2 linked regions of the Drosophila melanogaster genome follow. The protein of the gene in region 2 interacts with the protein of the main gene of each other region in a pairwise test. Each region holds a gene or a part of one and is shown on either strand. Other genes may lie near its edges. The genes, in order: spir and mon2.

Region 1 (4,841 bases), about 12 Mb from region 2:
CCCGCGGACGGATCTACCTCTATTACCTCTTTGATACTTGGCAGATCCCTTTGCTCGACAGGAGCAGGGTGTTCGAACGTCTGCTTGGTAGACATTCGCTGTTGTCATGTGCGGCGCGCCGGTGGAATCCTTTATCCTTTATCCTAATCCTACCCTCGCAGGATGCCGTGCTAATTGCTGTTGCGGCTTACAATGGTCGAGGGCAGTCGTTCATGCAGACGTCGGGTCTTTTCGGCTTGGGTGATGTTGAATTTTCAGTTATTTCTTCATTGATTATTTCTATTTTTGCTGAGTGAGTTGTGGTATTCGGCTTTCTTTGCTGGAGGTTTTCTTTCAGAAAGTCTAATTCGGCAGTTAATTTCGGTGCCGTTGCCCATGGGGGCGGTGTTTTATTTGTATATCATAGCCACTTAATATGTGCTATACCTTTATTTTTGATTTCCTGACATCCGCGTTTGCCCATTACCACACTCTACTCACTCAGTATTTTTGTTTCTTTTTTTTTTCATCAGTGTCCCGTCTCTAGGTCTCCCGCACTGGTGTAAGGGGCGGCCTGCCTCTCACACCTGTTGTCGCTGTTTAGAATTCCCAAATCAAATCGGCAATATTAGCAGCATTTCCTCAGTAGTCCTCAGATCGCAGGCTCCTGCCTCACGGTCGCCATGTAATAAACCAATATATGCCACCAATTGAGAACACGTGTTTTCCTTGCAGTTGGGTGCAGCCGTCAGGCCACCTTTTTATTTCTTCTTATCTCTTCGAGTAGCAGAAACGGTTCTGCCCGCTTAACCTCTACAGAGTGTCTAATCTTACCTAAATACTGCGACTGCGCCGCCGTCGACAGCGGCAGAAGAGCAGCGTATATATATATGTATAAGAGAGAGAGAGAGAGAGCTTATGCGCATATATGGCCAGCGGCCAGCGTGGGGATGCTGACTTAGCTTAAAGCATAAATGGGTGATCTTATATCACGCTCACTTGAGACATTTATTTATGCAATGCAACTAAGTGTTGCTGTGTACTTATAGGTACAGTGTACCCTCGATATATGCACATACTACAATATATTCTTGTAATCAATGTTTATATTATGTAAATCAGCTGTCGCTCCCCAAAAATTCCTTAATTCCAATTAGAAGACAACGAAAAAATTTCTCTTTATTTACGAATAAAAATTGTCCCTCAACTCCAATTGGAACGGCTGATCCGTCAACATTTTAGTCGGCAACACTTTAGTCTGCAACATTTGGGAATGTTGCATCATCTTGTTGCTATGCATGTTTCCACGGAAAAAGAGAGTATATCATAACAAGAGACCATTCACTTTTTTCGTTTTGAAGCAACAAATTTGAAAAGAGAAAACTTTATGTTTTTCCCGCGGGCTTGTTTGTTTTTTTTTTCTCGCTCTCCGTCGAATTGACTCTACATTTTGATGTGATCTTATTATTAGGTGAATCAGCTGTCTTCAAAAGAACAGTTTTAATTAAAAAAAAAATCCCTCAATTCCAATTCAAATTTCATTTAGAACACAACGAAGATATTTCTCTTCTTGTACGAACAAAATGCTCTCTTAACTCAAGTTGGAACGGCCGTTCCGGCAACATTTAAGTTGGTAACATTGTTGCATGCTGCATGCATTTGAGCACAAGAGTGTCATTTACGATTAGCAACTCGCGGCGAACGGACGTGTGTAAAAAATAGCCGGTGAGAAAAAACGAAGTGCGATTGCCGAAGAAAAACAGAGAGATTTCAAATAATAAAGAAATGCAAATGAAACAGAAGAAAATAAAAATAAAGCAAAGTGCGTGATTTCCATCTCCTCAGTGTTGTGAAATTTCTAGCAGAGTCTAACGGCGATTTGCGAATGCCGACTTAAGAAGTGCGAAAACAAAAACGTGACGCCAGTTTAAAATATTCTCAAGCGAAAATCATGTGTTTTTTGTTATACCCTGTGCTTTGTGTTTAATGTAGCTGACGACAAACAAAATATTAGAATCGTGTACGTCGGGAATCCGAATTCCATCCCCTCGTGTTGTGTTATTATTGTATTAAAGTTTCCTTTGCCATTTACCACACACAACACAGAAAAACAACAACAACAAAACTAAACCAAAATCGAACCAAAAACAAACCGCGAATTTTGCAGGTTAGCCCACCCGAAAGAGGCAAAAAAATCAATTATATGTTGGCCAGTGCCGGGTTTGCAGTGGAATCGGGTTGAAAGCCATCGATAGCCACACACGCCCACACACATAATGACGGAGCACCAGGCCGAGGAGCAGGCGGACACGCCGCCCACCAAGGTCAAGGCCACGCCCACACCCACCCCGAGTGGAAAGTTCAAGGACGCGAAGGAAGACGCCTTCCTGTCCACATCGCCGGACAGCGCCAACGGCGATGCCCAACACAAGCTGCCAGCGGACCAGCTGGCCATGTCCTCCAGTGCGCATCCCCAGCAGGCGGGCCAAGCCCGCCCGCTCATCCTGCAAGCCTTCCACCGCTGCTCCTCGCCAGAACAGTGCGTCACGCTGCACGACATCCTGGACTCCTTTAAGGCGCCGCTCTCCGAGGACCAGGCCTGGGCCCTGATCCACCAGTTCGCCGGGCTCTACCACCAGGTGGCCGTACAAGCGCACACCTGTGCCGCGGACTACGAGGCCGCCCTGCCCACCGGATTCGAGCTGCACTTCCATCGCGACGGCAGCGTCCACTTCTCCGGCCCGGATCAGCTGACGCCTAAGGAGCAACTGCAGCAGGAGCAGATCCCCCTCCCCCCGCAGCACGACGTGATTGTGGATCAGCCGGACCACAGCGCCAGCAGCAGCGGCGACAGCAGCGTCATCAACAGAGGTAAGCAGACCGACCTACTGAAAAATCAATATGCATACATATTTCTCACGGCTACAGTTAGCGGAAATTAATATTCCTGCAGTTTATGCCAGTTGTTTAATTAACGGAAATTAACTTAGTATGAATCTTCTATTCCTTGAATTTTTAATTTATTATTTTTTAAATCATGCTGAAAATATTTGAACTAAAATTGATCTATAGTCATAGTTATTAATGTTATAACATTTATTTATTAACGTGCTGCACACAACTGGCAATCTTTAGAATCTATATAGAAGTGGAAATGTTCAATACAACATTGATCAACTAACAATTTGGATTGATAACCTAATGAACCTGCCAACCCCAAATGACATTTTAATGTCGTTTTTCCTTACAATTATAGTAACATGTTTTAATCACAAATAATTTATTGTACATTGCACGCAAATGCAATTTGACTACCTTTAAGCTAGCAACCCGTGTATATTCTTTCGACTTTGTGTTAAGTTCTGTATCCTTTGAGCAATATTTCCTATTATTTTTTATGAGTCTTCCTAAAGATATATATATAGTTTATGTGTATTTCGGCCCGTCAGAGGTCAGTTGGGTGTTGACTTCAGATGCGGAACTGTAACAGTGATGAAAACTGGGGCTGTGATTAGCTGGGCCGGAAAACCGGTTGCGCTGATGCCTCTCCGAATGCTGAGGGGTCTTTGTCTTTTCGGCAAACGCTTTCATTTTCAGTTAATAAGCCACAGTTAACTTCTTTCTCTCGGCCTTTTATTTTCGGACATCTGCCGTGATGTGGGTTTCCGTGTGCCATCCATCTGACTATTGGCATCGCCCGGCCATCGCCAGCGGAGTCCCCAGCGCTTTCCAAACAAACAACCCACACTATCCGCCATCCGATGATGACCTCTGCATTTAAGTTATGCAGCCAGCCAGCTTTGATTGGGGTTTTCCCCACTTCTGCCTTCTGTCTGATTGCGTGCTGGCTTGGGAAAGTGTAAACGGCGACTCCCATGAAGAAGGTACCATCCCAGTACCCTATCAGCAGTGTTTTTCACTTTCTTTTGTAGCTCGGAGAGCACAAGTATCACTGGAAGAAAGGCAGGTCATGTTCGGATTGGGCAGAAGATTGAACGCTTTTCCTTGCCGCAATACAATCGAATCCAAATCTACGAAAGTAGATTTTTTCCAGTGTAACGATCACAGCCTTTCCTTTCGGCATTCCCCCTGCATTCGCTGTAATTGATGGGGGGATACTTTTTCGCCTCTCGATCTCTGAATCTACAGAACGTGTCTGAGTCTGTCTCGCAGCTAATTGTTTAATCATTCGTCTGCGCGGGGACTGTCAAAATACAGGTCGGTAATCTATCGACTTTTAGATAAGCCACGTTAATTGGAAAATGCGTTTCTGAGTGGGTAGTGATGGGAATCTTGGATTTCGTTCTCCTAGGTGGCCCTTAATGTGACTCAGCTCAGCTTTTGGTCTGCAGCATTAACTGCATTCCATTGCATCTTTCTTCGTATGGGCCTGTCTATCTCTATTTGGCCAGGCCAACTCTGCCTATAGCCGGCTTTTGTATCAGCGTGGCCAATTAGTTAGCTCTTATAGACAATTAGCCAGTTACATGGGTAATCTTAAGGGCACGCAGATACAGGAAGTTACAGTATTAATTGAACTGTGTAACTCGGAGGTGAAGGAACTATAGATGGCTGATAATGCTGTAGGAAGTCCTAGGGGATTTTAAAACCCATTTCAGTATACTACTTAAAATTCAGAAATTTTCTTTTATAAATAACTTAAAAAATGTTCTTAGCTCTTAAACCTCTGTAATTAAAGGTCTGTGATCGTCAATTTCTTATCTAAATTCACACGTAACCTTTGTTTATGCTTATCATCAGAACTTTCCTCGGGCCAAACAGAGATCACCTTGTAACACCTTAATTGCCGCTAATTCAGCCGCTAAAATCCAAGCCATTAGGTGAGATATCGAAAGGTTTTG
Region 2 (7,977 bases):
GGATTATTTTTAATCTAATCGTACCTTGGAAGCGGACACTTTCCGCTTTGTCTCTCATCGTCGTTAAACCGTTTGAGCACCTCTTGGAATCGATGCAACAGGGCGGTGACTGCTAGTCTGCCGGCAAAGTCCTTGCCACCTGCTCCCGCGGCCCCAGCAGTCAACACATTGGCGTTGAGACGATTGTTGTTGGTGTTGGCATGGTCCTCTAGCAGCGAGAACTGCAGAAGGGTCTCGAAACACGTTTTGGCAAAAATCTCACGCAGCTTCCAGTCGGATTCGTAGCAAATGTTCGTGTCTGAGGCGGAGTGTATAGATCCCTTGTTCAGCAGCACTACGATCTGCATGATAAACTGGTGTGGCATTTCGTGCGAGTGAGGCAACACCTCGTCCCTCAGCAGCTCAATAACCTGACAATCGATCGTTTCATCCAGCACGATCTCCTCGAGACCGCGATCCTCGATGGTGCACACACTCGCCGGAAACAGGAACTTGTCCAGGGTATCGGCCAAATCGTCCCACAAGCTTGCGAAATGTTGCGGCTTAGCTCGCGCCACCTTGAGACCAGTATGCAGCACGCTAATCAGACTGGAAATGGCCAGCTTCCATGTGCTGGAGGAAAGGCATTTGTACTTCATCGCCAGCGGCGTGCGCAGAGCCTTGACGATGTCATGCAGAATCTGCTCCTGCACAACCGAATCCTCGGTGGCCGTGGTCTGGTAAAGCTTCACGCAAATACTGATTGACTTCTCACCGAAAGGTATGTAGTTCATGCTGACCACCTCAACGGAGGCATTGTTGGCATAGTGTCCCGAGGACTTCGCATACTTGTGCTCCACACTCTGCTGAAATGTGGGCGGTGCGCAAGCGAATTTACTAAAGATCAGCAACTGCCGGAAAATGGCAGGGATAAGCTGGCTGATGTGGGAATCGGGTTTTGTCGCCTCCTATTCAAAGATTATTAATTATATATTATAATGGATTGTCTTGTAAATGCTTGCCTTCTGTATTAGTTCCATGCAATCGAGAATGCCATCGTGTAGCGGCGTCAGCAGGGTGTCCGACACAGTGGACATGATGTAGGGAACCGCATCGGTCTGGACGGGAATGCACACAGCGTTCGTCAGTACCGTACAGAATTTGTCAAAGTCTGCGGCAGTAAATCTGAAAACAATTCAAATATAAATTAATCGTTTTGAAAAAAATAGCTAAACGATATTAAACATAGCAAATGTATAAATTGATCAATTTAAAATATATTATATTTTTGGGGAATCTATGACAATGCGTTCTTCCTAAGTAGGTGTGTCTACTAACTTGACTTGAATGTGCTGAAAAATGGCGGGAAAGATTTGGATCAGGGCGGTGAGGAAGGCCTGACTGGGAATGTAAAAGTCCTCCTGAGTTTCGGCGCCATTGCTATTTTGCTGCTGCAACTTCGCTGACGTCGATGTGGACATTTTGGTGCTCTCCATGCCAATGCTAAGCCAAATGTTCCAAGCAATCTGCTCAAAAGTAGGAAAGACAAAAGTTCATTTAGTATAAATAAACAAAAGACAACCACTTTGGTTGACAGCTATCTTAATCTCTAAACTACTCACAGTCCAAATTTCCTCGTCCTGCTCCTGTGCCGTCTGAGGATCCTTCAATGCCCTCTCTGTTCGCTCTGCTGTGTTGTGGTACATGATCTCCTGTAGAGACTTCAGAGCAGCAAGTGAAACTTCACCATTTTTGCTCAACGCAGCATTCTGGATGAACTCTAGAATTAGTGACCAGGCTCGCTCAAAATCACCCAGCATCTGAAGCAGCTCCCGTTTTGTATTGAACACCCTGCAGACGCCCGATAGAGTCAGCACCTGCGTTTCTGCCCACTGCTTTTGGGCGGTGTTGCGCGAGTGATGGATAAGAATGTTGCCACTGGCGTCCACCTTCTCGTTGCTGGCCGAGCTGCTCAGAGCACGCACGTTGTCCAGCAGCGGGAAGAGAACCTGCCAGACCAGCGCCTGCCACGTGGGCGGATTAAGCAGGCTGCCGTGGGCGGAGATGGTGGAGAAGAGCGTCTGGCCGGCCGATTTACGCACCGCCGGACGCAGATCCACACACAGCTCGCCCAGCTTGGCGTACAAGCACATCCACAACTTATCGAACTGCGGCATCTTCACTGTGCCTGGGAAGTCGGGCAGAATGGACACATCCTGCAGCTGAGTGGACATTAGCTTGTCTTGGTTTTGATTAAAGAAGTCTGAAATATTCCACTGCAATCAAAGTACAAAATTAAAGTAACTCAATAATAATAATACTATGTATGCAACAGTTTATCTAATATGTATAACATAGCTTACCATGAGACCGATAGCCGTCAAAGAAATGTTCAATTCCTGGGTCTGGGAGCCGAACTTAGCAGCAGTGCTGATGCACAGCGGCAGACACCGCCATGGCATTACGGTCAGGAAATCTGTGATAACCAACTGCAGGCATTGGAATGCTGTGCGAATTAACGGCTCGCCATGGTGCTCGTTTACAGCACCAATGATCTCAATAATGGCTGGCCAGCCAAACGAGAGGATTTCCCCTGCAGTGTTTAGGATCTGAAGGACGCAATCCAGCTGTCGCTGACGTACATCTGCGTGCAGGACAGTAGACAACTCAGAGAGTGGACTCAGCAGCATTGTTTGTAGTTCCTAAACGTGAAAGGGGTAAATTTGCATTTTGTTGTGGTACTATTTCTTTGAAACACTTTTCAGTGACGTTCTACAATAATTGTTAAAGAAATACAGAGGGGTAATCTTACCATGTTCTCCTTGAGGGGCGTTTTGTGCTTGAACTGTAGGGCAGACTTCACCAGGTAGGTAATGGCTTCCACGCCCCACTCCCGCATTCGAATATGTCGATGTTGGCACACCTCCAGCAGGTGATTTGTAAGTGGTCGCCACAATACCTTTATGCGGGGCATGTTTACTAGGCCAGTCTCTAGCAGTTTGGCTACCGCAAAAAGCGATGGTTCCCGATTGGCATAAGCAAGTTCCATGGCCTCGTGGGAGAGCTTGCACAATGCATCGATTAAATGATGCAGCGCTACATCGTCCAGATATTGACTGGACTCGAACAGCTGGCTAAGCATTTGTGACAGGACCGGAAGATCAGCCATCACTGCCGTTTGAATTCCCACATTAGCCTCTACAGCTGGCTTTGGCATGGCCTGAAGACTGCCTCCGGTAGAAGGTTTCAGCCCCAAGATCCACACTAGATGCTGCAGCGTCTGCAGCACAATATGCCAGGAGGTACCCAAAATCCCACCATTGTTGTGCGCTAGGAAAAGAATAGCTCGCATACACTGTAGATTCTTGTTAGTCAGCATCACGGGCGCTTGCATCACGCTGTGGGGCAGCGATGCCGATGGCAGTGGTGTACCCACCGCTACGATCTGGGGTCGGAAGTCTCCTGCATCGCCACTACAGCTATTGATGAACTGGCTGCTTAGATCTTGACTACCACTGCGCGTGTGACCTGTAACGGATAGGTTTGGATAAATAAATACACAATAAATAATAAATACAATTAAGAACTTACATCTCAAGTCACCATCCGACTGTGTGGTATTGGCAAATATGGACATGGCATAGTGGGGCGGAAAGGAGGCGCGGCACATGGCCATTATAAAGGCGTCTCGGGGCTGCAGTTGCTCCAGCATTCCGCACAGAGCTGCATAATTTTGCATAGCCTTGAGGATGTTCTCCGTGGTGGCCTCGTCAATCGACGTCTCAACCAACGGAATAAAAGCGCTGAGCAGGGCAGACCAGCTGGAATTCACCAGTTGGAGGCACAGTGGCTTGTGCTCCTCCTCAGTGATCACTGCCGTATTGTGGCTGGGATGAAGCTCCGGGGTTCGCTGAATGACACCTCCAATCGATCGAGTCATATCCAGTAGAATAGCATGCCCAACCGAGATGCCATAACTGTCGGGAATATTCGATGCATCTATCTTATCCAACATTTCCAAGCTGAAAAATAAAATTATAAATAAGATTTTATACAAAAAAGCTGATATTTCAACTTACTAAACGGCCTTTGAGACGCCTGGCGCATATGTGGCTACCAAGGGAAGGTAAGCACCTCGAAACATGAAGCCACATTGATTGCTTCCCGACATGGCTGTCAGTGAATTGGCGACTCCATTCTGCTGGCCATTCAGCATGGCCGATGCATTGATCAGGGAATATCGAATGTAGCTGCCCATGGCAGCAATCATGTCATGCACAATATTGGTTGCATGATTTTTTAAGTCGTACGACTTGCAGAAGAATGCAATCAGTGAAGAGCGCGTCACCAGCTTATGGATAACCTCGAGGGCCAGGGCTCGCTGCCAAGCTGGCTTATCCGGATCCAAGAACTTGATAATCAGCGACAGAAAGATCTCACACTCTGTTACCAGTATAGTGTGGTATTTTTGTATAAGTATAGCCACGAGGCGCAGCAAACGCATGCTAATTGGGAAATAGGGTTTCTCGGCCGGCACAGGAGCGTTTCCATTGCTTGGTGCAGGCAGCTGGCGATGCTTGACGTTTGGCGAGAAGAGCTTTATGACCAAGGCACAGACTCGTTCCTTAAGTAGCAGTCGAAAGTCGTTACTCTATTGAAAAAAAAAGGATTTAATTAATATATAAATAAAACTGATCTTTTGGAACTCTGAAATTTCAGACTTGCTTTTGCTTATTTTCTGATCTAAACTCCTATAGAAACAGCACAATTGTTTAAATCGAAAGACTTGAAAGTCGATTCGTCGTCTAGGCCGATTTGTAAACATACCTCGTGAAACACGGCACTGAAGTTGGTCAGCACGGCCTCAAGTAACTCCAGACCAAAGGTGCGCGTCATTTCGGTCATGCCCAACAGCCAGTAGGGCTGATCCGCGTTTACCAACTGCACAAGATCCTGAAATAGCAGGAATGCATCCGAAGCAAAGGTCTGCACATCCTGATTTCCGCCCTCTCCCTCAGCTGGCGAACCACTGGACTGTTGCTGCTGGAGGCTGGAAACCGAGTCTTTCTCCAGGTACACTCGCTCAAACACCAGGGACACCAGCTGCCGGATGGTGGCACCGGCCGTATTCACAATTGTGGGATTTTTGGCGTAGTGCAGGCGAAAGCACAGAACTAAGGCCTTGGCCAATGTGTCGCCGTGCACCACCGTATTGGTGGTCAGCAAAAGAGTTACTGTTTGCAGCACTTTGACTTCCTCGATGTTGTTCTCCATTAGGGTCCACAGTGCGTTGGTGATGTATAGGGCGCCCTTCTGGTCCACCACCTGCTGGGTGATGAGCCGCTGCATCATGCCTAAGCAAAACTGGAAAAAAGATAGGAAAGCAATTAGATATATTTACTATATAAATGGCTGCTCTTACCTTGATGATCTTGAGGTCCTTGGTCTCGCATCCCTGCACCAGCGGATAGAGTATCTGGTTGACGGTGTAGTACACCGAGTTTTGCTGGCTGCTGCCAGCTGTGCAGAGCTTGGAAATGGCCTCCTCGCACGCCTGATTGGGAATTGGAAACGTTAGAGAGTTAATTTGCAGGTGGAAATGTCATAAAAACAATTTCATATGCGCTGGCTATCAATTTCATAATTGCGTAGAGCAAGCACAGGTGGAACCAGAGCAAACCACCCCCCGCCCACCGACGTCCTTCCACCACCACCCAACTGGGTTGTTGGGTGACACACACTCGTGTGTCGGCGGATAAGTGCCGCAATTAGACAACCACGGCCGTGAATCACACGTCAGCAGGACTCACCTCCTTGATCTGAGGATACTTCTTCTTGGTCTCCAGCGAGAGGGTCTTGAAATCCGCCTGCAGGGCCTCCACAAACTTGTGCACGTCCTGGCCACCGCACCCGCCCCCGCCCACAAACGACATGGTCACTGGTTGTACTCGCTCCTGGTCACTTGACACTCACTGCACCGGATGCGTGCGACATTTAAGTACTGCGACCGATACACGCATATGCTACGCAACCACTTTGGACTCGAGAAAATGCAATAATAATGCAGCGCACAATGAAAGCCGTGAAAAAATTGTGATTCGTTTTGACAGCTGACGTACACAGTGCAGAGTTGCTAGTGATTGGCAACGCGAGCTGGCCATGTTAACTAACATAAGCAGAACCATCATCAACAGTGGCCTGAAAAGCGCCCTTAACAGAGCAGGAGTTTCGGTGAAATTTTGTGGGTCGCCGGAAACGGAAAATAAAGATAATGGCAAGGAAGAAGTATCTTTACCAGGATGAGGCCCTAATCCCAAAAGCCATATACGTTAAATTCCATAAATACAACATCCAAAAAGGATAAGATAAGACTAAAAAATAATCTGTCAAGTATGCTTTTCATGTTTTGCCTATTTAAGCGAACTTTATAAACATGACTTTTGGGTGCTTGGTTCAAATCCACCTTGTAGAGCGGTCACATTCCCGGAAAACTAGAACTAACTTATAGCCATGGCTGGCCGACTGCTGCGCTGCATCCTGATACTAATCCTTGTCAGCTTTACTGTCTTCACGTACGTTTCCAAAGTAGGGGTAATGGAAAAAGTCGACTATTTTACGACAGCGAAACCTGATGTAATGTCAAAAAATCCTGCAATACAGTTAGTGGGCGAAGCGATACGGCTAAGATCCTTTAGGGAGCCTATTAAAGATTTCGACGATGGATTCGCCGTTCAAATTTCAGGAAACAGCAGTGAAGGCAACAAGGATATCTATACAACTATTGATGGCAATATAAATGTTGCAGATTCTATTGCGGCAATTAGAAGCAGAAGAATTGATGAGGAAAAGCTCCATGGTGAGAACTATTTAATTATTCATTAGTCGACTCATATTGATGTTGTTACTTTGCTTTTCTTCAACAGATGACGGGCTAGACTCAAAAGATATTTTAGCAAAGAAATCAGTGGTATTGTATTCAATAGATACCGAAGTTCCTGTCCGAATGCCGCTTGTGAAAACTATCTACAAACCTGGTCACCTGGACAGTGAGATTGATATGGAAAGAATATGTCCGCAAAAAGGGTTATCGACGCAGTTGTTAGTTTTAATAACCTCATCCCTTCGGCATTCGGCAGCCAGAATGTCCATACGGCAGACTTGGATGCACTACGGCAGCAGAAGGGACGTGGGCATGGCATTTGTCCTGGGAAAAGGCAAAAACAAATCGGTGAAGAAGGCCATTGATCAGGAGGATTTTATGTACCAGGATCTGATAAGAGGACACTTCATAGACTCGTACAACAATCTCACTCTGAAGACCATTTCTCTGCTGGAATGGGCTGATCTTCACTGTCCGAAGGCTAAGTACGTTCTCAAGACGGACGATGACATGTTCATCAACGTGCCGAAGTTATTGACCCTCATTAGCACGCTTAAAGCCAATAGAACGATCTACGGACGACGGGCCGAAAATTGGAAACCCATTCGAAACAGGTGGTCTAAATATCACATATCCAACGCTCAGTATGGAAAGCCTACCTTTCCCTACTTCACCACCGGACCCGCCTACTTGCTCACTGGTGACATTGTTCACGCTCTGTATGTCCAATCCCTGAATACTGCATTCTTAAAGCTGGAAGATGTCTTCACCACGGGCATTGTGGCTGAAAGTCTGAACATCCGGCGGGTAAATGTGCGCGAGATGGCTAACACCCGGACGAAATTCGAGACGTGCCACATCCGCGACAAAATTACCATCCATATGGTAAGGAATAACGAGCAGTTTACCTTGTGGAATATGTTATTAGACGACACCATAAAGTGTGATAACCAGGTATAAAGAAAATGAAAATTATTTAACAATTTTTTACAAACAAATAGTTATATACGCTCAACAAAATAAAAAAGGAAAATCAAGAATTTAGAGCGCACTGGTTGGCTGGTACACATAGAACTCTTCATCCGCAGACTTGCTGACCCGCAGCTTTCCCTCCTTCT

The links.
Region 1: the proteins of mon2 (region 2) and spir interact in a two-hybrid assay, tested with the Drosophila melanogaster proteins (one study listed by BioGRID).

The regions. Positions count from the first base shown.
Region 1 is NT_033779.5:20,309,565-20,314,405, forward strand, and holds the start of spir (spire), read left to right. Parts: upstream 1-1,654; 5' UTR 1,655-2,255; coding exon 2,256-2,850; intron 2,851-4,841.
Region 2 is NT_033779.5:8,117,903-8,125,879, forward strand, and holds the start of mon2 (monensin sensitivity 2), read right to left. Parts: upstream 6,109-7,977; 5' UTR 5,913-6,108; coding exon 5,790-5,912; intron 5,534-5,789; coding exon 5,402-5,533; intron 5,344-5,401; coding exon 4,807-5,343; intron 4,631-4,806; coding exon 4,059-4,630; intron 4,002-4,058; coding exon 3,571-4,001; intron 3,508-3,570; coding exon 2,792-3,507; intron 2,682-2,791; coding exon 2,343-2,681; intron 2,256-2,342; coding exon 1,602-2,255; intron 1,506-1,601; coding exon 1,318-1,505; intron 1,165-1,317; coding exon 1,002-1,164; intron 948-1,001; coding exon 25-947; intron 1-24. Other genes in the region: CG8673 (uncharacterized protein), read left to right, coding at 6,490-6,835, 6,903-7,819; CG12375 (uncharacterized protein), read right to left, coding at 7,901-7,977. UniProt on the Drosophila melanogaster protein: May be required for traffic between late Golgi and early endosomes.